3 linked regions of the Callithrix jacchus genome follow. The protein of the gene in region 3 binds, or shares a complex with, the protein of the main gene of each other region. Links are inferred from orthologs where the notes say so. Each region holds a gene or a part of one and is shown on either strand. Other genes may lie near its edges.

What was found.
Region 1: TMEM17 (region 3) and TMEM67 share a complex: the UniProt entries of both Homo sapiens proteins name them as parts of the tectonic-like complex. The link is inferred for Callithrix jacchus from reciprocal best matches to the Homo sapiens genes TMEM17 and TMEM67.
Region 2: TMEM17 (region 3) and TMEM107 share a complex: the UniProt entries of both Homo sapiens proteins name them as parts of the tectonic-like complex. The link is inferred for Callithrix jacchus from reciprocal best matches to the Homo sapiens genes TMEM17 and TMEM107.

What each region holds. Positions count from the first base shown.
Region 1 is NC_133517.1:33,384,514-33,394,973, forward strand, and holds part of TMEM67 (meckelin), read right to left. Parts: intron 9,097-10,460; coding exon 9,040-9,096; intron 7,639-9,039; coding exon 7,540-7,638; intron 5,489-7,539; coding exon 5,390-5,488; intron 5,020-5,389; coding exon 4,933-5,019; intron 3,462-4,932; coding exon 3,362-3,461; intron 3,268-3,361; coding exon 3,128-3,267; intron 845-3,127; coding exon 704-844; intron 1-703. UniProt on the Homo sapiens protein: Required for ciliary structure and function. Part of the tectonic-like complex which is required for tissue-specific ciliogenesis and may regulate ciliary membrane composition.
Region 2 is NC_133506.1:74,648,108-74,658,667, forward strand, and holds TMEM107 (transmembrane protein 107), read right to left. Parts: upstream 7,431-10,560; 5' UTR 7,306-7,430; coding exon 7,219-7,305; intron 7,043-7,218; coding exon 6,975-7,042; intron 6,875-6,974; coding exon 6,774-6,874; intron 5,353-6,773; coding exon 5,256-5,352; intron 5,035-5,255; coding exon 4,965-5,034; 3' UTR 4,790-4,964; downstream 1-4,789. UniProt on the Homo sapiens protein: Plays a role in cilia formation and embryonic patterning. Requires for normal Sonic hedgehog (Shh) signaling in the neural tube and acts in combination with GLI2 and GLI3 to pattern ventral and intermediate neuronal cell types.
Region 3 is NC_133515.1:51,608,490-51,619,049, reverse strand, and holds TMEM17 (transmembrane protein 17), read right to left. Parts: upstream 10,471-10,560; 5' UTR 10,442-10,470; coding exon 10,342-10,441; intron 6,779-10,341; coding exon 6,675-6,778; intron 6,532-6,674; coding exon 6,418-6,531; intron 5,484-6,417; coding exon 5,205-5,483; 3' UTR 4,216-5,204; downstream 1-4,215. UniProt on the Homo sapiens protein: Transmembrane component of the tectonic-like complex, a complex localized at the transition zone of primary cilia and acting as a barrier that prevents diffusion of transmembrane proteins between the cilia and plasma membranes.

The sequences.
Region 1 (10,460 bases), on a different chromosome or scaffold from region 3:
TCGGGATTGATTCCAGATCCCCCAAGTACACCAAAAGACACCCATACTCAAGTCCCACAGTCAGTCCTGCTAGAACCCATGTATACAGAAAGTTGACCCTCTACAGATGCAGAATTTGCATTCTGTGAACACTGTATTTTCTATTCTCAATGAGTTCAGTCAAACAGTTCAAGCCCATGTTGTTCAAGGACCTCTTAGCTAAAAGGCCAAGAAATGATGGATCAACTGTGACTACTTAATACAGTGCCTAATACAATATAAGAACTGACTACTGGCTGAGTGCAGTGGCTCATACCTGTAATCCCAGCACTTTTGAGAGGGCAAGGAGGGTGGATCACCTGAGGTCAGGAGTTCAAGAATAGCCTGGCCAACATGGTGAAACTTCATCTCTACTAAAAATACAAAAAAATTATCTGGGCATGGTGGTGGACACCTGTAGTCTCAACTACTTAGGAGGCTGAGGCAGAAGAATTGCCTGAACATGGGAAGCAGAGGCTGCAGTGAGCCAAGATCATGCCATTGCACTCCAGCCTGGGTGAGACTCTGTTCTGGAGGGGGAAAAAAAAGAACTGACTATTAGCTATTGTTCTTGTCACCTTCTTTCTGCTACAGAAATCAGGATGTGGTCAATATTTGATAATAACCAGTAAGTAGGCAGAGTTAATAAAGAACCAATGTTACTTAGAAGTATAATCTCTATTACCTGTATAATTCCAATGGCTAGCCAAAGAGCAGCAGACACTGCATATCTCAAAATGCGGCTGTAAGGAGCTATGTAGCTAGGTGGGCTTCTAGAAAGACTAGAAGATGAGTCCATTAATGCTAAGTTCTTGAATCCCACAACCTCGAGTAAAAAGAAAAAATAATAATTTATACACACATGTACAAATTTATACACTCTAGACTGAAAATGGAAAACCACTCCCTACTGCTCACCTTGAAAAACTAAAATATCCAAGTTTGATAAATAGTAGAAGATCTAGATAAAAATAATTATTATTCAGTATTTTAACTACAAAGTATTGGCCAGATGTGGTGGCTCACGCCTATAATCCTAGCACTTTGGGAGGCCAAGGTGGGTGGATCACCTGAGGTCAGGAGTTCAAGACCAGCCGGGCCATCATGGTGAAACCCCATCTTTAAATAAATAAATAAATAAAAATAAATTTAAAAAAAACTACAAAGTATTTATTACACAATATTTAGTTCATTTGGTATTCTTCTCAATACAACTAAGGGTCAAATATAATCTTACTGTCATACACATTGACAAAACTAAAAATTTAGTTAAAAGGATAAAACTTTCATCAGTAAACTACAATGTATGAAATCAACAACTAGTATTTCATGAGTATTTAACATGTGCTAGGCACTGTACTAAACACTTTTATACTTTAAAACAGTATACTACAAAATGTCTTCTAAAGGACGTAAGTTCTCTGAAAAAGGAATCCATGTTTAAATACAGTTGGTCCATCTATTACACTCACCACCATGCCTCCCACCTTGTAGAATAAAGGCTCTGAGAAGTTTTACAGTAAAAAGTAGCTACATTATTATATTGAATCCAATATTTTCCAAACTTACTTGACTATAAAACATTTTCATGTAACACCTTTTAAAGTTGAGGAAACACTCTTACACACACACACACACACACACACACACAAACTTTAGTACAAGAAAAAAGAAGTATGTGAGGTAACAGATAAACTAGCTTAATTTGGCCATTCCACAATGAATACATGTATCAAAACACTGTGTTTATGAACATATATAATTTTTATCTATCCACTTAAAAAAAAAAACAAAAGAAAAAACCAAAATGCGACTTCAAGTAAATTTTGCAAGTATTGCTTTTATCATTTAAAAGCCCTAGGGACACAAACATTCTTCTACTAGTTTTAAAAAAGGAAAGGGGAAAGAGAATGAAGAAAGAAAAAAAAGGGAAGGCTGACAGACAGAGCTGAAAGTTAATAATGTATATTCAACCTTAATTAAGCAGATAATTCCTGAGAAAACCTATTCCTATATAAACGGTTTCCAGGTTCAGTCTCATACTTAGTAGTGAATACTTCCTTTAATAATTCCAACCAAATCCATGAAATAACTGCAAATATATCACAAATATGTTGTGTCGTGTTCAGTCGTAGCCCCAGCTCTTAGCAAGGAACATAGTCTATAGTAAGTGTTCAATAAAAATTTGTTGAAAAATATCAAATTTACAATCGTGATTCTTTTTTTTTTTTTTTTGAGACCATGTCTCACTCTGTGGTCCAGGCTGGAGTGCAATGGCGCAACCCCGGCTCACTGCAACCTCCGCCTCCCAGGTTCAAGCGATTCTCCTGCCTCAGCCTCCAAAGTAGCTGGGATTACAGGCATGTGCCACCGTGCCCAGCTAATTTTTTTTTTTTTTTTTTTTTTTTTGTATTTTTAGTAGAGATGGGGTTTCACCATGTTAGTCAGGATGGTCTCGATCTCTTGACCTTGTGATCCGCCCGTCTTGGCCTCCCAAAGTGCTGAGATTATAGGTGTGAGCCACAGCGCCTGGCCTATAATAGTGATTCTAATGCAGGGGAGAATATGGATCATGGGGTAGGGAGCTTTTTCAAAATACAGATACCTGGGGTTACCTCAAAGCTACTATATCGAACATAGTCTCTAAGGGTAAGCCTAAGCATAGGTATTTTATGAAAGCTCCCCAACAGATTCTGATACAAACCATTGGTTTTAAAGCTACTCCTTTCACCTAGAGCAGTCAAACACACAGGGAGTATTATAGTATAGTGTTTGCCAGAAGTTAGGGAATTGATACAAAGTTGTTTAAGAGGTACAGAGTTTCAGTTTTGCCACGAGTTCTAGAGATGAATGGTGGTGATGATTTTGCATGACAATGTGAATGTACTTAACACTATTAAACTCTACCCTTAAAAATACTTATGACGGTAAATTATGTAATTTATTTTACCACAATTTTTTTGAAGTCACGTCTTTTTAATGGCCTCACCACAGTCTTTCAACCTTTAGAAAAATCTTCCACTGTCATGAAAACTTAGTTGGAATTATATTAGTTTAATATTTCTAAGGTACATGTAAGTTCCATACAATCACATCAAACAGTTCATACCTCCAAAAAGAAGAGGACAATAAATACTTGAAAGAGTGAATTAATTTTTCTCACAGTCTGAATTTCATTCCATTCATTTGCTACAAAATATGTTCTCCATATGCTTACAGGAACAGTGGCACTTCGTACACCACCCTCACCTGGTCAGTGAAATAAAATGAGTAAAAGAGTTTTACCTCCTTTGCTCTGCAATGGTAGCAAAAGAATTTTGGTACAAATGTTTATTTCAGTTACCTTCAACAGCTTTAAGAACCTTTCCTTTAGGTCGCTCCCAATCAATAAAGAATATATCTATTGTAATCTGGGATATGAGCGTATGCAAAAATTGTAGTGCCTGAGAATGACATATAATAAAACACCTAAGAAAGTATCAGCATTAAGCCTGCTTATGAAACCAATATTGATTCTTTAAGAAACATACTGTTATTACAAGAACATAAACTTTTGTGAGTGAATTCACATAAAGTTATAGTACCACTAGGGAATCATTAGAAGCTCATCAGATAACCTGGAATCACCAAATTTATAAAATTTTCATATATATATTAATTTACCTTACCTTTTTCTTTTTTTTTTTTTTAAATAGAGACGAAGTCTCACTATGTTGCCCAGGCTGGAGTGTAGTGGCTATTCAAAGGCACGATCCCACTACTGATCAGCACAGGAGTTTTGACCTGCTCCGTTTCTGACCTGGGCCGGTTCACCCCTCCTTAGGCAACCTGGTGGTCCCCCGCTCCCAGGAGGTCACCATATTGATGCCGAACTTAGTGTGGACACCAATCGGCATAGTGCACTATAGCCCAGAACTCCTGGACTCAAGAGATCCTCCAGCCTCAGCCTCCCGAATAGCTGGGACTACAGGCGCACGCCACCATGCCCGGCTCCCTTTTTATTTCTTTCTTTAAAACAGAAAATATGAAAAGAGGAGACTTTTTTACCTCTTCCTCACATAGGAGCTTGTATAATTGACCCTTACCCAAAGGTTCTAGAAGCACACTTTGTTGTATAGACCAGCTGACTTCTTTATAAGTAAATATATTTCCAACTATAGGTTTTCCTAAAGTTTTTGAATGCTCTTGCTGTCTTTTTCTTTCTATTTCTGCTATTAAGGTTTCTGATTTTTAAAGAATGTGTTGTTGAAACACATCTTCCTCATCTACAGAAGCAGTATGTTTAAACCGAGGCATTTTTTCTAGTTTCTGCATTATTGATCAAATAAAGGATAAAAATCTAAGTATGGGATACATCACTTAGATAAGCTCCCGGTCAGTGGAAAAAGCAGACATTTAATATTCACGGTACAATGGGATAAGGACTACCAAAAGGCACATAAAGAACTTCACCTACATTGACAGAGAACACTGAGTTGGGGACGTGGGGGCCATAGGAAGAAACAAGCAAAGGAATATGGAGACATACAAAACAATTTTTAAGATCTCAACACTTTATTCAGAGTGGTACCTTTTAACCTTGATTAGTGAAGACAAAATTCATGCCTGAAGACATTTTGTCCCATTGTCAATGTATCATCAGACTTTAAAGAAAGTTATATATTAAAATATCATTTTATCAAATTAGTCACAACTCATGTTAATCCAAATAGATGTACGGCTTCTTTGAAAAAAATATTTAAGGCAGATTTTCAGACTGAGTATCTACTATAAATAAAAGTAAATTTACCACATAAAATGATGAAGGCTTTCTTTCAAAACCAAAGTGAATTTCACACCAAAGATTTTGAAAGCATTTTAACTTTAAAGACTTACTAGTTCATTAGCAGGCCTTTTAAATTTAGTAAAACTTACCTTCAGAGCAAAGGCACATCCAACATAAGTGACAAAACGTTCTTCCTGAACTGGCATTGGGAGCAAAACAGAGACAGACTTTTGTGCCTATAATAAAAATTACTTGATTAAATACAATCACACAAAGTTTTTGTTATTTTGTTATTGTTGTTTTTGGAGAGGAGGGTCTCAGTATGTTGCCCGGGCTGGACTTGATTCTGGACTCACAGTATCCTCCCAGCCAAGTCTCTCAATTGAACAAGGTTTTTACTAAGCACAATTGATAGACCAAAGAAAGCATAAAAGAGGATGATAGTGATATAACCGATAAGCTCAGCACACTCAAGGAATGGGGAGTTGGGCACCTGTCTTAATACTATTGATCAAAAATTCTCCCAAATAAAAATAATTCCTTAAAAGGAAAGCTTTTCAATTATTCAGACATTGGCAGTTGGGGTAAATTCAGAAACTCACTCACTTTGAAGAAAATAAGCCAATAAAGACCTGTTCCCACTGTGATGATAAAGAAAACATTGGCCAGATAGCCAGCATAGTACACCAAGAATTTCATAACTGTCTGCAATTAAAAAAGAAAAAAGAATTACAGCTGTTTAAGACTCAATATATATAACCCCTTTAGTAACACTACCGCTTTTATACATCATCCACTCCATTTCTGAAGTCTTGTTTCACATATCCACATATAATCAAGCTATAAAGAACACCTGCATCCTCCTCCTTGCTACCTTTTTGTTCCTTATCTTTCTGTCCATTCCTGGTAGCCTCTTTTTTCAACTCTTCTCATCTTTCACTATCTAAGAAAGTTGAACTGCTTCCTAGTTTTCTGTTAGTTGGGAATCCTCCACTCTAATCTCTCCACACTACCACCAGAGTTAGTTTTCTAAAATGTAAATTGGATTGTGTCACTCCTCTTGTTAAAAATGAATAACTCCTCACTGCCGTATAAATTGCTGATCCACAAGGTCTTTCAGAATATGAGCCAAAATTAACTTTTCATCTGCCAGTTCCAGCTGTGTGGTTAACAATCAACCATTCCATTTCATCTTGAATACTTTGTAGAAAATGGGCATTGTTTTACCAAATATTCTTCCTCTGTCTGGCAAGCTCTCATGATCTCTGAGAGCACAGACTATGGCTGTCTTCACTCACTATCACATCCTCCAGTGCCTGGTAGAGTGCCAGACACTTCCACAGTGGAGCCTCAGTGACTACTGTGGAATGAATAGATAACCCCTCTTAAATTTCACTTCAATGGAAAGCCTTTCTGGACTATCACAAGTAGCAAATCAAGTCCTCCTGCCAATTCCTTAGCTCACTGGCTTTGGAATCAGAAAGATACTTTGGTTAAAGTTACCATGTAGCCTTTCTCATGTTCTTCATCAACAAAATGGAAATACCTATTACTGAGTTGTAGTAAAAATCAAGTGAGTAGAAAATTTAACCTTTGCCTCTATTTCATCATGTGTAAAATGTGACTAATAATAATAATATCTAACTTCAAAGAGCTATTGTGAGGATTAAGTTGTATCATATACGTAAAGATATATACATAAATTATATACATACAGCTTTAAAAAGTACCCAGTACATGGTAAATATTTTTTAAATGTTTGATAAAAATAAAAGGTTAAACATGAAGTGAAAGTATAAAGTTAATAGAATAAAATGTGGACTATCTTTGTGATCTTGACATAGAAAAAAATCCTAAAAACACATACCATAACATGAAAATATATTCAGATATGATGATATCAAAACTAAGTTTCTGGCCAGGCATGGCGGCTCATGCCTGTAATCCCAGCACTTTGGGAGGCCGAGGCAGGCAGATCACGAGGTCAGCAGGTTGAGACCAGCCTGATCAACGTTGTGAAACCCCGTATCTACTAAAAATACATAAATTAGCCAGGCGTGGTGGTATGCGCCTGTAATCCCAGCTACTCAGGAGGCTGAGGCGGGAGAATCACTTGAACCTGGGAGGCGGAGGCTGCAGTGAACCAAGATCGTGCCACTGTAGTACAGCCTGGGCAACAGAGTAAGAATCTGTCTCAAAAAAACAAAAACAAAACAAAACAACAAAAAAACTGAGGATTTCTGTTAAACAAAGGACCACATGGATAAAAATAACAGATGGGTCACATATTTCAACAGCAGAAACCAAAAAGCAGTTACTATTTAGAAAATATTAAAAAATCCTTTGAATAAACAAGAAAAACTGGAAACATAATAGAGAAATGGGTAAGGGATACAGGCAGTTCACAGGAGAAATCCAAACTATTAAAATGTATATGAAGAGTAATCAGAGAAATGATAATGAAATCAACAATGACATACGACTATTTGTCACAAGATTGGCAAAAAATGGAAAGGTTGCAAAAATATCAAGTGTTGCCAAGCATGCGCAGAAGTAAGAAGAGCACCGCAGGCAGGAATATAGACTGGCAGACAGTATGATGGAAGAACATGAGGTATGCATATACCATATGACCCAGCAATACTTAGATCCTAATTACATGCCTCAGAAAAATTCATTCTCTAGCCGTGTCTTATGAGAAGGATCCAGAATAGTCAAAAGATTAAAATATTCTTAAAAAATTCCTGAGATTTTACCTGTAAATCAATCATGGGACTCCCAATGCGCCTCTTCCATCCTGCTGTCTTCAAAAGAGATGCTAAAACAGCTAGCCCACCCAACACACCCAAAGCAATCTAAAAAACAAAAGAACAATTTAGAATTTATGTAATTTCTCTCATCAGTGTTCAAAAACACTGTGAACAGAAAGAAGTGCTCAAAAAAAACAGTGAGGGAGGGACATGTTGAAAGGACACAGGAGTCAAGGTGGAGAAACTTCTAAAGGACAAATCTGGGACAATTTGAACAAGAAAATAAACTATAATATAATTACTAAAACAAAACAAATATGAGTTCACAGTGATTTAAAAATAAATAATTGAATAAGTAATGTGAGCAAAGGGAGAGTTTCTCCTCACAGTAAATTTTCAAATTAAATAAATAAAAAAGTAATTAGGGAAACAGAAAATCACCATGAGGTAAATATCACAGTGAAACTTTCTGCAAGCAAGAAACACCAATGGATGCTATTTAATAAAATTAGAGGGCAAAATAATAATAAGAAGCAGAATGTTTGCATAATTTCAAAGATTCTCCCCCATGAGATCTATCTATCTATCTATCTATCTATCTATCTATCTATCTACCTACCTATCTGAGACAGAGTTTTGCTCTTGTTGCCGAAGCTGAAATGCAATGGCATGACCTTGGCTCACTGCAACCTCCACCTCCTGGGTTCAAGTGATTCTCCTGCCTTAGCCTCCCAAGTAGCTGGGATTACAGGCACCCACCACCATGCCCAGTTAATTTTTTATATTTTCAGTAGAGACAGGGTTTCACCATGTTGGCCAGGCTGGTCTCGAACTCCTGACCTCAGGTGATCCATCTGCCTCAGCTTCCCACAGTGCTGGGATTACAGGCATAAGCCACCATGCCCGGCCAAGATACTTATTAATTACAAATGGAAAAATGCAGTGGAGAACTCTGCAGACACCATCTTAGCCATATGATTAAAGTTAACATCATCAATAAGAAGACATGCTGACATCATGTGCCTCCCGATATGATGCACTGAGAAGGCACCGTATCACTTTGGTGGCATCTTTGCTAAAACTATACGAACTCAATTTGATCATGGGAAAATACCAGACAAACCAAACTGAAGGCTAAAACAATGGACCAGTGCTCTTCAAAAGTGCTAGGGTCATGAAGGACAAAAAAAGGTAAGAATCTGTTACACATTGAAAAACACTAAGGAGATATGACAGCTAAAAGCAATGTGTGACTCTAGATTGGGTCCTGAAACAGAAAAAAATTCAATAGTGAAATTTAAAAAGTATGTAGATTAGTTAATAGGAGTATATCAATATTAATTTCCAGATTATGACCACTGTACTAAGTAAGGTTATGTAAGATGCTAACATTAGGGGAGGATGGAGGAAGAATATCTGGCAAATTTTGTTCTAGCAACTTTCCTGCATATCTTATTTAATTATAAAATATACTGTATATATTTTAATAGGTTAAAATAAACTTACATCTGTCTGGATATCTGCTTCTCCATGATCCATTTCATAGGTGACTGAGAAAGAAACCTGATATTTAAAACAAAACAAATTAGCTATACTGAAATTATATAATACAAACTTAATATTATAAAAATACATTTGTAGCTGAGTTTTATCATAAACACTATAGTTTTTAACTATCAATATTACTAGAGTTGACCTTTACTTACACGTAAATACATATGCTTTTGAGAATTATTTTTGTGCTGCTTTAAATATCTCTTTCATACACATTATAAAGGAGCTCATTAGGAGATAAGTTAGATTCATGCACAAAAGTTTAAGTCAAACTAATCGTATTTCAATTTCCAATAGATTTCTGTAACTGAGGAATTTGATGAAACTTGTACATCAAGAATTTAGCAACTGGCTAAACAACCATACCCTATGCAAATTCATCAAAGGTATGAACAAAATTCTTAAAGATACCATACACTGAGACAATCAGACTAAGAGAAAGAAGAACCTAGTAAAGGGTCAGAGAAGAGGACTGTGATGGGTAGGAGAGGAAGATACCTAAGTCTTACCATGGTCACAGAATAGGGAGTTTCAAGGAGGAGGAGGTTGAGTACTGTGTCAAATGTTGTATAAATGTCAAGGTAAAGAAATAAAGCCACTATATGTGGAAATCATTGCTGACTTTCATGAAAGAGGTTTTCTAAGAAGTAAAATGGCAAGAGCCAGACTGCAAATGATGAAAGAGTAAATGGTTGGGAAATGATGGAGAAATAAATATCAACCTGGGCAGCTGGCAGAACTGAGTAAAATGTTTGGTTGGTTGGTTGGTTGGTTTAGTTTTTTTTTTTTTTTAAGATAAGGCAATCTGAGAGTCTTTATAAGCAAAGGAAAGGGACTTGTAGAGAGGCTGGCTGAACAAAAAGACATTGGGGATAAAACAGGTTATAGGAAAAGGTACTGTAAATGAGGTTAGACAGAAGATTAGTTTAGGAAGACAGGAGGGGACCTTCTTTCTCAGAAAAAAGGAACAAGAAATGGGAAGGGCAATGAAACAGAGATTCTGAAATATTAAAGAGGAAATCTTAAGGAATTTGTATTAGATAGTCTTGATCTGGTCAAGACCAGTTAAAGAGCAGAGACATAGCTGGATGTTTACAACTGATGTAAAATTTTACAACAGCTGCCATGAGAAATTAAGAAGTGATGAAAGAAATCTATGTCTTATAATTAGAACAATTTGAGGTAGACTTCATCAATGTAGTTTTCATGACTTAACTATTTTTTTTCTTTTTTTTTTTTTTTTTTGAGATGGAGTCTCACTCTGGAATGCAGTGGTGTGATCTTGGTTCACTGCAATCTTTACCTCCCAGGTTCAAGTGATTCTCCTGCCTTAGCCTCCCAAGTAATTGAGATTATAGATACCCACCACCATG
Region 2 (10,560 bases), on a different chromosome or scaffold from region 3:
CCCAGCCTCTTGGGAAGCTGAGGTTCTTGGGTCACTTGAGCCCAGGATTTCTAAGGCTTCAGTGAGCCATGATCGTGCCATTGCACTCCAGCCTGGGCAACAAGAATGAAACTCCATCTCAAAAAAAAATTAGCCCTTTCTCTGCAATATGAATTAAAAATATTTCCCCTAGATTATCATCTATTGTTTGACATTTGCTTATGATTTTTTAAACTATGAATAGTTTAAACATTTTAATATATGTGTGTGAGTGTTTTCATTTATGCCTTCAGTGTTTTATTACCATACTCTGAGACTTTGAGACAAGCCTGAGTAACAAAGTGAGACCTTGCCTCTATAAAAAAGTTAAAAAATTAGCAGGGCATGTTTTCACCCACCTGTGGTCCAAGCTACTCTGGTGGGAGGATTGCTTGAGCCCAGGGTCAAGGCTGCAGTGAGCTGTGATGGCAACACTGCACTCCAACCTGGGTGACAGAGTAAGATCTTGCCTCAGAACAAAACAGGCCAGGCATGATGGCTCACGCCCGTAATCCCACCACTTTGGGAGGCTAGGGCAGGCAGATCATGAGGTCAAGAGAGCGAAACCATCCTGGCCAACCTGATAAAACCCTGTCTCTACTAAAAATACAAAAATTAGCTGGGTGTGGTGGCAGGGGCCTGTAGTCCCAGCTACTCAGGAGGCTGAGGCAGGAGAATTGCTTGATTAAACCTGGGAGGTGGAGGCTGCAGTCAGCTGAGATCATGCCACCACACTCCAGCCTGGCAACAGAGCCAGACTCCATCTCAAAAAAAAAAAAAAAAAAAAAAACGCCATCAAAATTTAGCAGGTAGTGGTGGTGTATGCCTGTAGTCCCAGCTACTAGGGAGGCTGAGGTGGGAGGATTGCTTGAGTCTGGGGCAGTCAAGGCTACAGTGAGCTATAATCATGCCACTGCACTCCAGCCTGAGTGATGGAGCAAGACACTGTCTCAAAAATAATAATAGGGCTGAGCAAGGTGGCTCACGTTTGGGAGACTGAGGTGGGCAGATCATCTGAGGTCAGTAGTTCGAGACCAACCTGGCCAACATGGTGAAACCCCATCTCTTCTACAAATACAAAAATTAGCCAGGTATGGTGGTGTCCATCTAAAAAATAAATAAATAAAACAAACAAATAAATAAATATAAAAATAATAAAAACTCCGAAAAAGTTTTAAAAAGTATCTTCCCTATTCTAAATTTATTTATTTTATTTGTGTGTGTGTGTGTGTGTGTGTCCGTGTGTGTGTATAACAGAGTCTCACTCTGTCACCAGGCTGGAGTGCAGTGGCACGATCTCAGCTCAGTGCAACCTCCACCACCTGGGTTCAAGGGATTCTCGTGCCTCAGCCTCTCAAGTACCTGGGATTATAGGTGCCCACCATCACACCCGGCTAATGTCTGTATTTTTAGTAGAGACAGAATTTCACCATGTTGGCCAGGCTGGTCTTGAACTCCTGATCTCATGATCCTTCCGCCTCGGACTCTGAAAGTGCTGGGATTACAAGTGGGAGCCCACTGCACCCAGCCCAAATTTATTTTTAAAAATTCCCCAAGAGGGCATATTACTTCTGTAGCATTCTTGGCAAAAATGCATAACTTCGGCCGGTTGCGGTGGCTCACGCTTGTAATCCCAGCACTTTGGGAGGCCGAGGCGGGTGGATCATGAGGTCAAGAGGTCGAGACCATCCTGGTCAACATGGTGAAACCCCGTCTCTACTAAAAATACAAAAAATTAGCTGGGCATGGTGGCGCATGCCTGTAATCCCAGCTACTCAGGAGGCTGAGGTAGAATTGCCTGAACCCAGGAGGCAGAGGTTGCAGTGAGCGGAGATCTCGCCATTGCACTCCAGCCTGGGTAACAAGAGTGAAACTCCGTCTCAAAAAAAAGAAAAAAAAAAAAAGGATGGATGCTGAACAGGCAAAAACAGCAGCTGTCCACCATGATGGGAGAATCCCAAGAGCCAAATCAACTGAGGGAAAAGGCACTGAGCAGAGAGAGAGGCAGAGAGCAGTTACCACACTCCTGACACTCTGCTACCCTTTTATCCCAACAGATAGCTGGATTGTCTCAGTTAATTCTCTCAGTGATCCCATGAGATATTGTTGTGAACTGATCTGAGCCAATCTTTCCCTTTGGTGGGTATAAATAGCCTTTCCCCACCACCTGGAAGAAGCTGGAAATGCAGGAGAATTCTGCTACACATACAGGAATCTACTACAGAAAATTAGCAAGAGGTTCAAAATGGTTCATACAGCCTTGATGAAGTACCTGACCCTTTCAGGAAAAGATCACCTGAGGCTGATGCAGCATTACCCCAGAGACAAACTTGTTACTCACATAAAAAATGTGAGTGTGGCCAGGCGCTGTGGGTCATGCCTGTAATCCTAGCACTTTGGGAGGCCGAGGCGGGTGGATCACAAGACCAGCCTGGCCAAGATGGTGAAACTCCATCTCTACTAAAAATACAAAAATTAGCAAGGCACAGTGGCAGGTGCCTGTAATCCCAGCTACTTGGGAGGATGAGGCAGGAGAATCGCTTGAACCTGGGAAGTGCAGTTTGCAGATCACGCCACTGCACTCCAGCCTGGGCGACAGAGCAAGACTCTCTCAAAAAAAAAAAAAAAAAAAAAAAAAAAGTGTGAGTGTGGATGAGGGAACTGAGGCAGAGAGGGAAAGGGGAAAGTGACCTCCTGCCCATCACACAACCAAGAACAGAAAAAAACCGCACTTGGACCCGGCAGGCTGTCTGGCTGCAGAGCTTGTTGCTGTAGTCCTTGCCCTGGGTTAGGGCTCACATCAGCAAGCTGGAATCTGGAAACCAGCAGCATCTAGTTGATGTCTGAAAACAAGAAGTAAATGAAGTCACCCGAGGAGTAGTGATCACCAGCACTTATGGGGCAAGCAGAGGAGACAACCCAGTATTATGTCCCCAGTAACTGACATACTGCAGGTACTAAGTATTTATTGAATGAATGTGAGAAGGAACAACCAGAACAGTGGTAGGCAAACCAGGGAAACCATTGTTCCAAAACTAAGGAAGCAAAAAGTACAAAAGAGGGGAGTGGGCCAGGTGCGGTGGCCTCATGCCTGTAATCCTAGCACTTTGGGAGGCCTAGCAGGGAGGATGGCTTGAGCCCAGGAGTTTGGGATCAGCCTGGGCAACAGTGAGAACCTGTCTCTACAGAAAATTTTAGAACTTAACTGGGCATGGTGGTGCTCACCTGCCATCCCAGCTACTCGGGAGGCTAAGGCAGGAGGATCATCTGAGCCTGGGAGTTCAAGGCTGCAGTGAACCATAATCCTACCACTGCACTCTATCCTGGGTAACAGAGTGGGAATGTTTAAAAAAAAAAGAGGGAGGGTGGTCAACATACTATATGCTGAAGAGAGGCCAAGCTCAAGTCTGAGAAGTGAGTCTGGATTTAGGAATGAGAAGTCATTGGTGACAAGCAGTTCCTTGGGGGTGTACCGGTAGATGTTTAACAAACGACTCTCCAAAAACAAATATATCTATGTATATACATAACTGTATGATAAATTGTACTGGTATAAAGTATGGAAAGCAAAAAATTTACAAATAAAAAGGCCAGAAGCAGTGGCTCATGCCTGTAATCCCTGTACTTTGGGAGGCGGAGAGGGGCAGATCACCTGAGGTCGGGAGTTCATGACCAGCCAGCCTGGCCAACGTGGTGAAACTCTGTCTCTACTTAAAAAAAAAAAAGAAAGAAAATAGCGAGGCATCGTGGCACCTGCCTGTAATCCAAGCCACCTGGGAGAATCCATTGAATTCAGGAGGCTGAGGTTTCAGGGAGCGGTGCACTCCAGCCTTCACGGCAGAGCGAGACTCTGCCTCAAAAGCAGGGGTGGAGGAGAGGAAAGCAAGCAAGCAAAACAGTTTCTCTTAAGTATTGCTTTTGCACATCCTAAGGGAAATCACCCATGTATGCACAACATTACGGTTAGCAATGTGCAGTGTTTCCTAAGACGAGGTAAGCGTCAAAGGATAAAGAAAAATAGAAGTCCGTTTTGTATTACCGAAACTCCTTAATTCCAGAAAGAAATTTCTTAATAACAGAGAGCCACATCACAATTTTCAAGAACAGACAAACCTGAGCGACACCACACAACAATCAAAAAACCGCTAGCCACAACACTCCAAGAGTTATTTTAGTTCTAATATTTAACACGAAACAACGAAAAAAAAAAAAGATCGTCAGGAGAATTCAGATAGGAGTAACCAGGGTGTTGTAAGTCCCGATTACGCAGAGACGTTAATCACGTTTCATGCACCTCCAATCATCATGTTTTATCTGTCCTCCGAAGAGGAACAGGTAAGGATTATCCCACCTGACGATATCTTAATAAACGGCGGATATTCCGGACTCAGTGAAAGAGATTCCGTTAAAAGCTAGGGTGAGTATACAACGCGTCGGTACGAGCCACCTTGCTATTTAACATCCTTCCAATTGTATTGCTATATTTGCTTTCATCTCTTTTAAAATAATTTTTTTCATTCAGCTGAGAAAAGGAATAAATTATTTCTTCCCAGAATGCTCCAATCATTTACGTGCTGGACGTTCTAACTGTATGCACTTTTATTTACATATCCCCGCCCACTTCCTTCCCCCAGACGTCTACCGTAATAACCAAAATAGAAGCGATATCAAGTATCTTACGGTCTGCAGGACTAGAAAACAGCGTAGTTGTTTTTTTCTTCAATAGTTAAGCCATCCCAATTGTCCCCTGAAAACTATATAACTCTTGATCTTACTACAAAACATATTTTATTACAAAACACTAAATACAATGCTGATAATCCCATACATCCAACACATATCCTCTAGCAGAAGCAGTTTCCAAGGGGAAGACTGAAGCCTATGCCTTTCTTCTTCCAGGAATACGAAGCGGCCTCCCATGTAGCCTTCGACCATCAGGAAGGTGATCAGAAAGGTTTCTTTTTCAGCCCAAAGATGGCGATGAATAAAGCCATTTCAGTGACAGCTGGAAGGGCACTACCGAAGCAGGTGGTAGATTCAGAAATCCTTTCAATATAAATATGCAAATCTCCAAACTAGAGACCCCACCCCTGAAAGTATAGGGCAGGTGGCATGGGGATGGGGGATGAAAAAGACTACAGGATCTCATGCATGGAAGAAGGGACCGGGTGGGGGAAAACTTTCAGATTTAGGGTAAACCTTCCTCCCTCATCCCCAAATATTGGGTGTTACCACACCTGCAGAAGAAAAAAATGTACCAATACGTAGTGCACTCCCAACGCTCAAATATGAAGAAGGACAGGGCCACGGATGCACTACAGTGAGCCCCAATGGCTTGGGAAGGCACCACAGTTAAGGAAAGTCTTTGGATCGACAGATAGTGATGGATCAGAAAACATCAGTGGTGGGGTTGGCATCTGCACTCAGGTTCATCGCTTGCTCCCTCACCATATTGCAAGGGCTAGAGTCAGCAGCCCTGACTTCTGAATTGTAGGATGGTCATATGAGGAGAGACCAGAAGTAACTGCATAGATGGGACCTCAGGCTAGCCTACCCCACATCTAGAGGCCAGCTTGGACCCTTCAGATGAGAGGTAAGAGTAGGCTCTCCTACCATGCCACACAGGAGTGCTGACAGCGAATTGATATGCTCTGCTGGAATCAGCCTCCAGGGTTCTAGCACTCCTGGTTCACAGTTCTCTGACCCACGTGCTTCATTTCCTTTGCCATTTCTGAGTTCCCATTGTGCTTTCTACCTTTTGTTTGTTTGTTTGTTTGTTTGTTTGTTTGAGACAGAGTCTCACTTTGTCACCAGGCACCAGGCTGGAGTGCAGTGGCACAATCTCGGCTCACTGCAACCTCCGCCTCCCGGGTTCAAGCAATTCTCCTGCCTCAGCCTCCTGAGTAGCTGGGACTACAGGCACACGCCACCACGCCCAGCTAATTTTTGAATTTTTAGTAGAGACGGGGTTTCACCATGTTGGCCAGGATGGTCTCAATCTCTTGACCTCGTGATCCACCTGCCTCGGCCTCCCAAAGTGCTGGGATTACAGGCTTGAGCCACCGTGTCCCGCTTGTTTGTTTTTTGACGGAGTCTCACTCTGTTGCCCAGGCTAGAGTGCAGTGGCTCAACCTCGGCTCACTGCAACTTCTGCCTCCCAGGTTCAAGCAATTTTCCTGCCTCAGCCTCCTGAGTAGCTGGGGTTACAGGTGTGCCGTCACCACGCCCGGCTAATTTTTGTATTTTTAGTAGAGAATGGTGTTTCACCATGTTGGTCAGGCTGGTCTCAAACTCATGACTTCAAATGATCCACCTGTCCTGGCCTCCCAAAGTTGCTTGAAATAAAGGCGTGAGCCACCGCGCCCACCCCTCTTTACACACTCCTATAGCACCCTGCTTATCACTGAATTACAGATATGTGTCTGCCTCCTCCTCATGATAAACAAAAAAGGTGAAGTTCTCATTATTACTATTATTTTTGTAGACATAGGGTCTCACTATGATGCCTCAAGCAATCCTCCTGCCTGGGCCTCCCACACTGCTGGGAATACAGACATGAGTCAACGTGCCTGGCCGAAAACTGTTTTACTCTCATTTTGGGATTTTAAGTGCCTAGTAAACAGCAGGATTTAGCACATGTTTGAAGATATCCGAACTGGAGAGATTGGTTACAGCAGACACTATGGTGTCAGGTGGCTGAAGGGAGTCCTGATGGAAATGGTCGTGTGGGAAAGGTGAGCAGGAGGAAAGGATACAGATGAGGCTCTGGGTGCTGTTGAACATGGAGACTCCTAGAAGGAAACCGGCCAGCTCCACTGCAAAGAGGCCCAGAGTGACAGAGAGCGCGGCCACCAGCCTGCAGAAAGGAAGTGGACAGCCTCAGGCCCTTGGACTTCTAAGAACCCTCCACTCCCACCACCTCTCCGTTCTGACCAGCCCATTCCGAGAGAGCTCACTGAATGTCCTGCTTTTCATACTCCTCGGGGGTGAACCTGAGAGGCAGGCAGGCCTGGATGTTGCTGTCCTGGGAGCAGAGCAGAGAGGAAGAGAAGTGAAAAAGGGACGGGCGGCGAGGCAGGCCTGGGGGCGGCGGGGAACGAGAAGACCTAAGTGGGTAAGACACTGGGAGAGGGGCAAGATGGGGCTGGGACCACTCCGAGGTGGGAATAGGGGCGGACGGATGTCAGCCGTGGGTCTTACCCGGGACCAGAATAAGGTGATGACGACCACCAGATGCGCCAGGAGCGTCAGGAAGCGAGAAGGTACGAGCCCTGAGACCCGGCCCATGGCCCTTGGAAACAGGGGCGGCGGTCTCAGAGGCCGGAATTTCAAAGAGAGCGACTCCTGAAGTCTCCCTGCAAGCGGACAAAATCTAGACGAACGCCTCCTTCCCGCCCGCTCAGGCACCGCCCAGTTACCTTGGTAACTCCGTACGCGAACGCGGCGCCGCGTTCTCGAAAAACATCGCGAGAGCAGTATATTCTCAAGCTGCTGCTGGCCTCTTCCGGCTTGCGCAGGTCAGGGCTTCCCCGAATGCCATTCTAACCCAACGTTTGGGTATCCGCGCGTAGCCAAGCCCTTTGTTCCTGAGAGGGTGCGAGGTGGCACGGCCCCGCAGCGCCCGATCTACCCGCCCAGGACCGACGAACGGAAACCGACCTGGGCTAGCCTGGGGGCACCTCGGCTTCCGCAGTTGCCGGGAGCGGCCCCCAGCCCCTTCTACACCGACAATTGTGGATCTCCTGAGGCCGCGCCACCGCCATGCCGGGCTGAGGTCCGGGTCCCCGCCATGCCGAAGACTCAGACACGCTCCCCTTCCCCTCCTCCGTATGCCTTTAGCTTCCCACCAAGCTGGCCTCAGAAACAAGGGTCCCGAACTTGGAGAGGCGGTGTCCCTAGACTGCTCAGCAGTCACAGATTGTCACGGAGCCCCTGGATGTCTGAGGACCCCAGGCCTGAACTTTCCTTGAGGAAGACTGATTTCTCTCAGTCTAACTTTGCTCAGTTTGGTGAGGGATTTGCAGAGTGCAAAAAATGGCAGAGCAAGGGGACCGGAAAGGGTGGGAGTGGATGGAGGGAATGGACAGTCCCTGCATCCCTGGGAGGCTTGGAGCTGACTGGAACGGAAACTCAAATCAGATTTCTTTATCTCTTGGAGGTGCTGGGCCTCCGACATTACCCAGCTACAGTCCAAGAAGCTCTTATCATCGGCAACCTCATGACCTTTGGGTTTCAGCGCAGGTCCCCGCTGATCGGAAAGCTCTTTCTTCTCGCAATGCTGTCAAGTCCCATTCTCAAGGGTCCTCCCGGCTCATTTCCCCGGAGAACAACCGCTTCCTCTTCCTCACTCCCCGTCTCAGTGCCTTTAGCCAGTCTAAATATATGCCCAAGAGGCATTTCTCATTTCTTCAAATATTGTTTGTATTTACTGATTACCTAGTAGGTGGATTCTAGTCAGGGAGATCAATAATAGACATGCAAACAAATCCGCAAGATACTATATGCTATGAAAAGGGAAACGCTACAATTATAATTCTATAAAAAGAATGGGGCATTTGTTCTTAAACTTTATTTTAGAAAATTTGGCGCAGTAGCTCATGGCCGTAATCCCAGCACTTTAGGAGGCCAAGGCGGGCAGATCACCTGAGGTCAGGAGTTCTAGACCAGCCTGATCAACATGGTGAAAACCGGTCTCTACTAAAAATATAAAAATTAGCTGGGCATGATGGCGAGCACCTGTAATTCCAGCTACTCGGGAGGCTGAGGCAGGAGAATTTCTTGAATCCTGGAGGTGGAGGTTGCAGTGAGGCGAGATCGCGCCACTGCACTCCAGCCTGGGCGACAGAGCGAGACTCTGTCTCAAAAAAAAAAAAAAAAAAAGAACAGGCCGGGTGCAGTGGCTCACACCTGTAATCCCAGCACTTTGGAAGGCCAAGTCGGGAGGAGCACAAGGTCTGGAATTCGAGACTAGCTTGGGCAACATGGTGAACCCTCGTCTCTACTAAAGATACAAGGGGGGAAAAAATGGCCCGATGTGGTGGTGGCGCATCTGTAGTCCCAGCTACTCGTGAGGCCGAGGCAGGAGAATCGCTTGAGCCCGGGAGGCAGAGGTTGCAGTGAGCCGAGATCAGGCCACTGCACCCCAATCTGGGTGACAAAGCAAAACTCCGTCTCAAAAAAAAAAAAAAAAGATGATTCTCTGTTCCAAACGGAGGGAGATTACAGAGGAGTCTTCTACAACAATCCAGCAAGAGAGGCTGAGGGGTTGTCAGTGAGATGGGGAAGGAGGGTCGGTGGACAAGGGGATTATTATTGAGAAAATAGAATTGACAGGATGTGGTGACTGGAAGTAAGACAGTAGGGGAAGGGAAGAGTCAAGGATGCATCTCCCAGTCTGGGTCTGGCCACTCTCTGGGAGTGCAGAAAGACTGGAATAAGTATGGCAGAGACATGAAGGTATCAGCAGGCACTATAAATCTGAGTCAAGAGGTGGGAGCCAGATTCAGGAGCCCTCATCACGCAGGAAATAGCTGAGTCCATAGAACATGTGTAGCATGAGGAGAGAAAATCTTACCAGAGGAAACCCAGGATTTACTGGGAGAACCGAAAAAGAGACTGGAGCTGGGCGTGGTGGCTCATGCCTGTAATCCCAACACTTTGAGAGGCTGAGGCAGGTGGATCACCTGAGGTCAGGAGTTTCAGACTAGCCTGTCCAACATGGTGAAATCCCGACTCTACTAAAAAAAAAAAAATGTACCCGAGCGTGGTGGTGCACATCTGTAATCCCAGCTACTTGGGAGGTTGAGGCAAGAGAATCGCTTGAATCCAGGAGGCAGAGGTTGCGGTCATCCAAGAATGGACCACTGCGCTCCAGCCTAGGCAAGAGTGAGACTCTGTCACAAAAGAAAAAAAAGAAAGGAAGGGAGGGAGGGAAGAAGGAAGGAAGGAAGGAAGGAAGGAAGGAAGGAAGGAAGGAAGGAAGGAAGGAAGGAAGGAAGGAAGGAAGGAAAAAGAAAAGAAAAGAAAAGAAAGAAAAAGAGACAGGAGAGAGGAGCCACTTGGGAAGGGCCAGCAGACTAGTGTCAAGGCAACCATGGGAAATGAAGGCTCTTGGAGAAGATGTTGCCTGAAGTTGGTTAAGGCCAGGCCTGAGAATGTCTGTGGCCTTTGACCCCTCTGTGGTCCCTGATAACTTTCCAGAAAGCCACTGTGTACAAATTTGGCTTGGATGGGAAGGAATGAGATAGAGCCATGACCTCTTGTGCCATCTCGGCCTGTTGAACTCCTTTCATTTTTCAAGAAACAAATGCGTCTTCCAGCTCCAGGTGTTTCCCTTAAGCAGTTCCCAATTTTGTCTCAACCGCGGAGCTTTAAAAAATACTGATGTTGGGAGGCCGAGGCGGGTGGATCACAAGGTCAAGAGATCAAGACCATCCTGGTCAACATGGTGAAACCCCGTCTCTACTAAAAGTACAAAAAATTAGCTGGGCATCGTGGTGCCTGTAATCCCAGCTACTCAGGAGGCTGAGGCAGAATTTCCTG
Region 3 (10,560 bases):
CTTCTGAAAAAATTCAATATTCAAGAACAAAGTAATCCAGAGCTTTACTTCATTTCAGTCTTTTTGTGTCCTAGGGCTGTCCCAACTCAATGACCCAGTTTTTATTGTGTCACATCTCACTGTCTGTTGCTGACTGCGACCAGCTTGCCTAATCCTTTTCCCGTCCCTTATCAGTTTTCCCTTAATTCAAAAATCTTTTTTTTTTTAAATTCTTTGCAGTTCTCCTTTCATAGCTTTCAGATTTTTTTTTCCTTTCTCACACTCAGTGTTCCTGTAGTAGCTACTCAGAAATACAAAGACAAATGGGTAACTAAAGTCCACAAATCTGTCCTTGTCAGAATTTTCACTGCACTATTTTTAGAATTGTATGTGGTGAATGGTAGAAAGTAAATATAATTTGGTATTTTGGCCTTAAAAACGTTCATACTCTATGATCCAGCAATTTCACTTCCAAAAATCTGGCTTATTAATTAAAAGGAATCATCTAAGACATGGAAAAAGCTTTATGCATGAGATGTTCATTACAATGTTATATATAAAGAAAAAGGAAAAACAGAAATATCTAATGATAAGAGAGAAGTTAAATAAATTATGGCCCATCTACTTGATGAAATAACACACAATCATTTAAGATGATGATTTTGTAACTATGTAGAAACATAGGAAAATACTTCTAAGGTTTTCAGAAAAGCAGGGTGCACAATTATAAGTGCCTATGATCACAATTGTTTCTTTTAAAAAACTATTTGCAAAGTAAAAATGTCAAAGAAAGATGACATTTGCTAACAGTTGTTATTTAAGGTGGTAGAATTACAGACGATTTTTCTTTACTCTCAGAATCTCATGATTCTGTTCCTTTTGAGTTTTTAAAAACTGTAAATGTAATTCAAGTAAAGAATCATTAAGTAGGTTATGTCAAATAAAACTTAGATTATTTCAGATAGAGCTCTACTTAAGTCTAATACTAATCTAATAGCTGGGTGTGGTAGTTCACCCCTGTAATCCCAGCACTTTCGGAGGCTGAGGCAGGAGGATCGCTTGAAGCCAGGAGTTCAAGACCAGCCTAGGCAACATAGTGAAACCTCAGCTCTACAAATTTTTTTTTAATTAGCCGGGCATGGTGGCATGTGCCTGTAGTCCTAGTTACTTGGATGGCTGAGGTGAGATCACTTGGGCCCAGGAGTTGGAGGCTGCAGTGAGCTATGATTGTGCCACTGCACTCCAGCCTGGGTGACAGAGCAAGACCCTGTCTCTGAAAAACAATAATAATAATAAAAAAAAAACCTGTGAGTGTGGGAGAGATAAGAAAGGCAGTGAATATATCATTTTGTTAACCATTATAGGTAATCTCTGAAAAGACAAATTAGAAAAACACTCTCCTTATATCTGTTTTAAAATACGAAATTATCTTTAAAACATTATAGTAGGTTCTATTCAAGTTTATTTTATTGCCACTGACTTTATCCAGGCCAGTTTGTTCACTCCTAAGTTACATAATCACATTCCTCTTGGTATCTCTGCCTCTTGTCCAACCCTTTCAATCCATTTTTCACATTGTCTTCAAAGAGGTCTTTCTGAAATCTAATTCTGTTTGTGATACTCCACTGTTTAAACTATTCAGGGAGTCAGAATATATTCAAAGCTGTAGACAGGCTTGCTAGCACCTTCCAAGCTTCTGTGCCTTATTCTGCACCATTTCTTCTCATGCACACTTTCCACTAGGCTCAACAAACTAGTTGTAGTCGTTGAAACAGAACTCACAGTCACTAATTTTTGTTTCTTAACACTGAATTTAATACCCACTCATTCTTCAAATCTCAAGTGTCACTTTCTTTGGGAAGGCTTTCCAGATTTCGTCATTTCGATGTCTCTTCTCTGTTATCCTACAGGGCCCCATCACACTGTGCTATCACTTATAGCTTATCTGCCTTTTCTACCAGAGAGTGAACTTCTTGTTTGCACAGGCAAGTGGGATTGAGTGTGTATTCATTTAACCTGAATGCCATCTACTCCCCTCAGACAATGTGGAGCACGGTGAATGCTAAATGTTGTTGATGTAGGGCTAATGTGCTTAATCCTGGGATACTAAGTGCTAGGAACACAGATGGAAGATGTACTGGAAGCCAAGGGCCTGTTACTTGTCAGGTACTTAGTAGGTAGAAACTCATTCAATGCACTTTCCTGATACAGTTACGCTTTTTTACTTTGTCTTAAGATTGTACAAATGTTTTATCTCCCACATCATATCCCTGAGAACCAGGAGCATGTCTTGTCTATATACCTTTGACTATTCTTTACATATACTAGTCATTCAAGTATATGTTAAATTAATAAGTTTTGATGTTTTAAAATAATTTTGATTTAGGTCTGGTGTGGTGGCTCATGCCTATATGTAATCCCAGCACTTTGGGAGGCTGAGGCGGGCAGATCACTTGAGGTCAGGAATTCAAAATCAGCCTGGCCAACAGAGTGAAACCCTGTCTCTATTAAAAATAAAAAAAAAATTAGCCAGGCGTGGTGGCAGGTGCCTGTAATCCTAGCTACTCGGGAGCCTGAGGCAGGAGAATCACTTGAACCTGGGAGGCAGAGGTTGTAGTGAGCTGAGATTGCACCACTGCACGCCAGCCTGGGCAAAACTCTGTTTCAAAAAGAAAATAAATAAAAAAAAGAAAATAATTTTGATTTACAGAAATTTATGCCTATCTTGTCTCTGATGAGAAAAAGCCTCTGGAAGAAAAAATATGTGAAGGACAAAACATTTGTGAAGTCCAACATTTTAATTAAAAAATTTCAGAACAGTGTTGTAAATCCTTAGAGAGGATATAATATAAATTAAGGATGGATAAACAGATTCAAATAAAATTAAAATAAAGACTGCCTAACCCCCAAATGTGCTGACATGTAAATATCAACTCTACCCTGATTTTCATATACTTATATAGGGAACTAGGTATATTCCAATGGAAAATATTCATTCAGCCTAATACAAAAAGTCATGGTTTTATTGTTCACATGAAAAACAAACAAATGACTTGGTCATGGTCTCAATTTTCTATCTTCCCCCGCCACTGTTACTATATCTGCATTTTAAGTAATATGTTTATTACAGCAAAATTACTTGAAAATTTTGATAAATCAATTTTCTCAAATTTTTTAATTAAAAAAATTTTTTATGATTATGATTGACATTTTGTTATTAATCTCTTAATCTTAAAGTTTAAATGTGCCAGAAGTTCTGCTATTTAAAATAAAACTCTGGAAACAATCTTGAAATAGAAAAGTCTCCATCATGCCCTAATTTATCTGCTTTGTAGATTTAATTTTATTTTATATTCTCTTATAGAATCATCTATCTAGTCCCATCTGGGAAACAAATGCAAACATACATGTTTTAGAAAACTATTCAAACAGAATTCTATTTTAAATTCCAAATTATTACGAGTATAACCAGTGACTACTTTGGTATGAAAAAGATTAATCAGCCACTGCATGGAGGGAGAAATATTTGGCTGAACTTTATATATAATCCCAAAGAGCAGAAATAATAAAATTAGCATAGTTCTGTCAGGAAAAATCAAGAATGAGTGGGAAGTGAAGACATTTTTTGAAGTTCAGCAAAACAAGAATGAATAAAGCAAAACCTGGAAATCCTAAGATAAGCACGAATTATTAAAAAAGAAAATTGAAAAGAGCAGTTTTTAATGTAGCTACAACTGTCCCTCAGTAAAATACATTACTTATAAAGGCCCATTTCCCTATAGAAAAAAAGAAAACCTGTAATGAAATATCATATCCTTTAAGACAATCCAACAGTCACTTAAATCTAATGTTCAGACACACCCAAGCAACTTTGTTCTTAACCCAATCTCCTAAAATAGATTTCTCCAATTAGCAAGGGAGCAAGCTCATTTTGGATCATGAGTATAGTCCCTTTGGCCATCTTAGCTCTCATATGTATTAAGAGGTGCTCTGGTTTCCAAATCAAGCCTCATGTGAATTTAATGGGTATGAAGTGGTTCTTTGGTGAACAGTAACCTAGTAGATGAAATCACAAGCACTAAGTTAAAGTGCCCACTACAGTGTCCACTACATAGAAAGCTCTCTAGGATTTGCTTTTCTTCCTTCCCTTGCAACTCAGTAATTAAAAAAAACAAAAACAAAAAAAAACAAAAAACAGATCTATAGCCCCAAAAGAATTGCACAAGACAAGGATGATTTGTTGCTGATACTTTAACTTAAATATTTAATAATTTATTATAAAAGTGTTTTGTATACCACCATTACAAATACTGAATATGGTCTTATGAAAGTTATAATTTTATGACAAAAATATTTCCTAAATACCATGGCAATCTACCTGTTTTCTTCTTAATCTCAGTATGACAGCGAATATTAGGGTTAGAATTTAACCCTAGCAGACATAAAAATTTGGTCTCTTGGTTTATAAATATAGTCAAATACATAGGAACACTGGCTGGCATTTCCATGTCAAGAAACATGGTCAGATGTGCAGCCAAGACATGGATAACCAACAAGCTTGTTTTTGTTTTTGCTTTTTTTGGATGGAGTCTCACTCTGTTGCCCAGGCAAGAGTGCTGTTGCACAGTCTTGGCTCACTGCAACCTCTGCCTGCCAGGTTGAAAAGGTTCTTCTGCCTCAGCCTCCCTAGTAGCTGGGACTACAGGCATGTGCCACCGCTGCCGGCTAAGTTTTATATTTTTAGTAGAGATAAGGTTTTACCGTGTTAGCCAGCGTGGTCTTGAACTCCTGACCTTGTGATCTGCCTGTCTTGGCCTCTCAAAGTGTTGAGATTACAGGTGTGAGCCATGGCACCCGGCCAACCAACAAGTTTTAAAGAAATGTACACATCTCTAGTTACAGATTTTAACCAGAAATATTACAGGAAGGCTGACAAATGACAACCACCAACACGTGGATTTCTATACTCCTGAAAAAGACAACAACATCCAAAAAATTAAGAAATTTGGCATCAGGTGGACAACATCTAGGTTTTAGGATTAATACACTGTTTCATATACTGTACAAAGTTTCATCATTGTCCTCAACCTTAGAATTTCAGAGTGAGAGCGTATATAATTCAAAACACTTGCTTTGTCCCTTTTCTCATTGTTAGATCACTGATATTTTCTAGCTCTTACAGTCTTCTAGAATGATCTGTCAGATTTTCACTCAACAACACTGGGTCAGATCTCTTCTATACATGACCTCATCCTTCTCATGTCTCCTCTGTTTGCAGAGAGCCGGTCAAAGTCTTGGAGGTGAAAACGAACTGCCAACTGATTGACCATGTTCCTCAAGGTAAGAAATGCTACAACAACTTGGAAAGCAAGGAAGAGAGTGAAGATGATATGTATTGCTTTTTCCAAGGGCAGATTTGTTAGGCCTTCATTAAAGAGCAAGAAAAGAATTAAAGGCAACTGCAATAGAAGGCTCAAAAGCCAAAAGCCAGCCAACTCAGGAACCTGTAATGACACACATCAAGAGTAATAAAAATCAGTAAAATACAGGTTTGTTTATATAGATAAACAAATACATATCACTACTGTGAACCTACATGATGGGCTCTGTGTGTAATTCCAAAGAAGGATGACATGGTCCTTTTCCTCAGAGAACTTACAATCTAGATGAGAAAACTAATTTATATAAAACAATCCTAGAATACTGCACTTTAGTAAACAATTAAGTGCAATATTTAGAAGTACAGACTAAATGCTACAAGAAATAAGATAGAGATTAGGGTAGGTGAAAGACCTCAGGAATGTAGGCTTTTAAAGTTATGGAGAAGGAAGAAGAGGCAAAAAGGTAAGTAAGCAAACATGTTAAACTAGCATGACTGGGGATCAATACATCAGCCTGGAATGGATGGCTGGGTGAGAAAACAGCAAAACCTATAGTAAGACAGGCTGGTGGGGCCTTATTATGAAGGGCCTAGAAAACCACAGGAATCTTTAGGCATTACCCCTATACTCTGGTAACCATAAATACTTAGGCAGCATGATGATGCAGAAAACATGGACCTGGAATAGGAAATGAATTTATAATTTTCCCCCATTTTCTTATTCAGGATCCAAATACACATGTTTAAGTGACCATGTATTTTCGAGACTGATGAGGGAAAATATCAATTTTAAGTATTTACTACATTCATATACTTCATATAAATCATTTCACTTAATCATAACCAACCTGTGAAGTAAATATTATTTTCCCCATTTTATATATGAGGAAACCATGGCTCAAGAGATTAAGCAAACAGACCACAGTAACAGAAGTGGTAAAGCTGGAGTCAGCCCTTAAATTCAGGCCTGTGCTCTTTCTGCCACACCTCACTGCCTTTTACTTGTTATGAAAACTGATTTCATTTGTATCTATCACTGAGAGGAAAAAAGAGCTTACCTTCTCCTGTAGGTTACCCATGTAGCCCAGATACAACCGGATGGCTTCAATTAAGGTTATTAGGATGATAACAGTGATCACAATGAATTTGTAGTAATCAGGCAAGATTGAGTACTAAAAAAAAAAAGCTAAAACATGTTTGTAAAATTTCACATACAGTAACATTAATCTGAGATAGAAAAAAATTATTAAGAATTTTAATTTTATTGACACTCTAACAACGTCAGGGCGGCAAAAGTATTAAAGCTTAGATTTACCTTCACGTGAAGCATCATAATGCTGCTCACCCACCACAGTGGGAAATAGTAGGTATTAAAATAAAGTGACATCTGCAATGCCAAACTGGAGACCATTTCATTTTCTATAGAAGGGATAGAAAAGGAACAAATTATGAATCCCAGTCTATGCCCTATATATACATCCCGTTCCCTAGAGTTAATAACTATAATATTGGCTCAGTAAAACTCCAAATTTTAAGCCTATTTGTAATCATTGACAGTAAAAGGAGTATTCATCCTAATACCATTTAGATCAAATATTGGCTATTTGGGGGTATATTTCATGTTTCTCAATTATTTTACCATTTTACCATTACAGTCTTCTGACTTTTTTGCATATACTACTGGTATAGATTTAATGTGGAATAGCAATATAAATCCTATTCAACAGATAAGTATCATTGCCTCCTTTGTAGAATTCTATGTAAAGAGCATATAAAATTAATGCATAAAATAAAAAAAAGAATCTCTCACATATAAACTAATCTTATACAAAAACAGATTACCAAGATTATAATTAGACATCCCTCTTTTCAGCATACCGTAATCTTAGCCATTCTTTAAAGTCCAATTCAATGTCGTCTTGTCATCAATACTTCCTTCATCAGTTCCTCCACCCCAGCAGAAATCTCTTTTTCCCTTTAGGAGGTATTTATCACTCTGAACTGTATAAGAAGTGCTAGCAAAGAACCACACTCCCCTCCCCAAAAAACAGTCTGGTATACTGAACAGATCATAGGCTTCAGAGTTCAAGCAAACTTGAGCTCTCCAAACTTCTGTGACCCTGGCTGTCAGATTTGATATAAATTACTTAACCTCTTTGAGCTTCTATTTATTCATCTGTAAAAGAGTGAAATTAAAGCTTCCTCACAGGCTGCTTGTGAGAATTAGAGCCAATATACATTATTTCATCCTAGCACTGTGCCTGGCACACTTAGTAGGCACATGACAAATATTAGTCCCCTTTCCTTCTTCTCTTCTACTTATCTACGGGCTCACTGCAAGCACAGACCATGTATTACCCTAATCTGGGAACCTCAGAATCTAGCATCTTGCTTTACACACAGTGAATATCAAATACACATAAGCAACATAAGCAGAAAGAATGAATTAATGAAAGCATACTGTCATAAGGACATTACTAGTATAACCATTTGTGATACATGAGTTCCATTTACCTAAGGTTTATTCCATAACACTTTTTGCTTTTATGTAAGAGAAGGGTCTTAAATTAAGAATTTGATTTTTAAAATTGAGCCCTATACAATACATCCTAAGTTTAACTAAATTCTTAAGAGCAGATACATATACTGAAATCAGTTGCTCTACACGTAACATTTTAAAGGCTCTAAAATAAATTTCTTTAAAACAGTATTTTTCCCTTGTCTCCATAGCTGAGTGTTTTTATCGGTCATTTAAAATATAAGAAATAATCATGGTCTCTCAAAGCAAAAGTTTCCTTTAGCTCCAAGAATATGCCTGATTATTATGACCTACTTTTGCTTACATCCGTTTATTAAATTACCACTGGTAAAGGAGTGAACTCTTAAAAATCTGTTAAATTTGGCCAGGCATGGTGGCTCATGCCTATAATCCCAGCACTTTGGGAGGCTGAGGCGGGAAGATCGTGAAGTCAAGAGATGAGACCATGCTGACCAACATGGGGAAACCCTGTCTCTATGGGGGTAATTTTGTAAAAATACAAAAATTAGCTGTGCATGGTGGCACACACCTGTAGTCCCAGCTACCCGAGAGGCTGAGGTGGGAGAATTGCTTGAGCGCGGGAGGCGGAGGTTACAATGAGCCGATATCTGGCCACCGCACCCCAGCCTGGGCGACAGAGCATGACTCCATCTCAAAAAAAAACCCAAAAAAAAAAAACCTTAAATTTGAAGACAACTCACCAGCCTAGGATCTTTTTCATAGCAACAGCACAATGCTGTGGACATGGTAATGATAGGAACTTGTTATTACAGCACAAAGAATCAGATCCACAAAGAAGAAAATGTGGGAAAGAATAATAAATTGGGCAAGCTGAACATTTCAGTACCTTTGAGAAGAAACTGTAGTCAAATTTTGCGAAGAATGGTTTTTATGTTAGAAGTATTGTGTGTTAATATCTTAAAGGTTATGCTATGTCCCTATTTCAGCAGATCAAAGTTATAATCATGGAAATGAAAATCAAGTTAATATGTAAATGAAACTTAAAAGCATAAGATAAATTTACTAAAGTTTGCAAAAGTTCAAGTTGAGTTCTGTAAATGGAATTTAAATTAAAACATACAATATAAATCAGGGATGATAAACTACTGGCCAGATGCCTGTTTTTGTATAGTTGATGAGATAAAAATGTTTTTTCATATGTTTAAATGGTTAATAAAAGAAATATTTTTTTCACACGAGAAATCCATATAAAATACAAATTTCAGGGTCCATAAAGTTTTATTGGAACACAGCCATGCCTATTCAATAACTATTATCAATGGCTGCTGTGGAGACCATATGGCCTACAAAGTCTAAAATATTTACTATCGGGCCCTTTTCAGAAAACGTCCGTTTTTACCTTCTATTATCAGATGTTAGTGCTCATTAAGCCTCATCCTTGGAACCAGAAACATCAAAACTTAATTTTTTCCCGTTTTTCTCTGTATATCCTAAATGACAAAGGCCTACATTTGGGGAATAGGCAAGTGATCAAGGTGACAAAATGCAGCTATAGGAACTGACTTTACTTTTCTCTGTCCCTTTTTAAAATTTGCTAAAACCAAGCAGAGGAAAAGATTTCCATTTCCCAGCAGAGCTGAATGATGAAAACCACATGGGTTTGGTTGACAGTGTGTTGTCTACCATCATGATGTAGGAGAAGGAAACTGTTTTGGAGGAAATTGCGTTATCACTTGTCATCAGGTTGAAGGATGCAGAAGCATCGTGGTATTTTGTTACCTTATGGTAAGAGTTACATATAGGGGAGGTGGAGAAGGCAGGGAAGAGGTGAGTTTTGTTGAACAGACAGCCAGTATGGCACATGCCAGTTGAGAGTGAATGGTGGTTTGAAAGGACTCATTAAAAATTTTGTTGTTGTTGTTGTTGTTTCAAAATTTCTTCTACCAGCAAATGGCCTTGAGGAGGAACATACTTTTCTGCTAGGAAAAGAGAAAAGGCAAATGTGTTCCCTGGGACGGGGGTGGTGGGATTGCTTGGGCTGCTCCCCGCCATCCTGCCCAGAAAAGCCCGGGCGGGCGAAGCCGAGAAAAAGCAACTTGGGCTTTTGCCCTCATGGCGCGCGCGGGACCAGCCTGTGCAGCAAACGGCTTTTATCTTTTTATTTTTGGGGTTTCTCTGGAGCAATGATGGGCCTCGCCTAGCACAGAGGTTGGCCCCACCTCAGCTGCCTCTCTCATAAAGAGCCGGCTGGGCTGCGGCGGCACGCGCAGACCAGGCCCGGCCCTGGGTTATCCGCCCATAGGCGGCCCGCGCCTCAGCTCCCCGCTCGACCCGGCCCCTCCTCCAAGGCGCTAACTAAGACTGCGGAGAGCTAGCTGAAGGCGACGTCGCCATTTTAGGTCTGGGCAAATTCTGGAGGCTCCAAAACCCACGCTAAGCCCTTGGCGGGCCACACCCGGTGCGCCGGGCCTAGTCCACTCACCGGGACCCTCATTGTACTCCGGCCCAGTCCGATTGGAATCACTGAACACGGCCCGGCTGAAGGTTCCCAGCCGCTGGCGTACCGGATCCGGCAGGTCCATGTCTGGGCCTCACTATCCCTCGCCCCCTTAGACAGAGGCTGGTCTGTGGGCGCAGTCGCGCTCCGTGGTTCCCACGGCAACCGGGCGGGGCGGAGGCGGCGGGACCCGGGAGCGCGCTG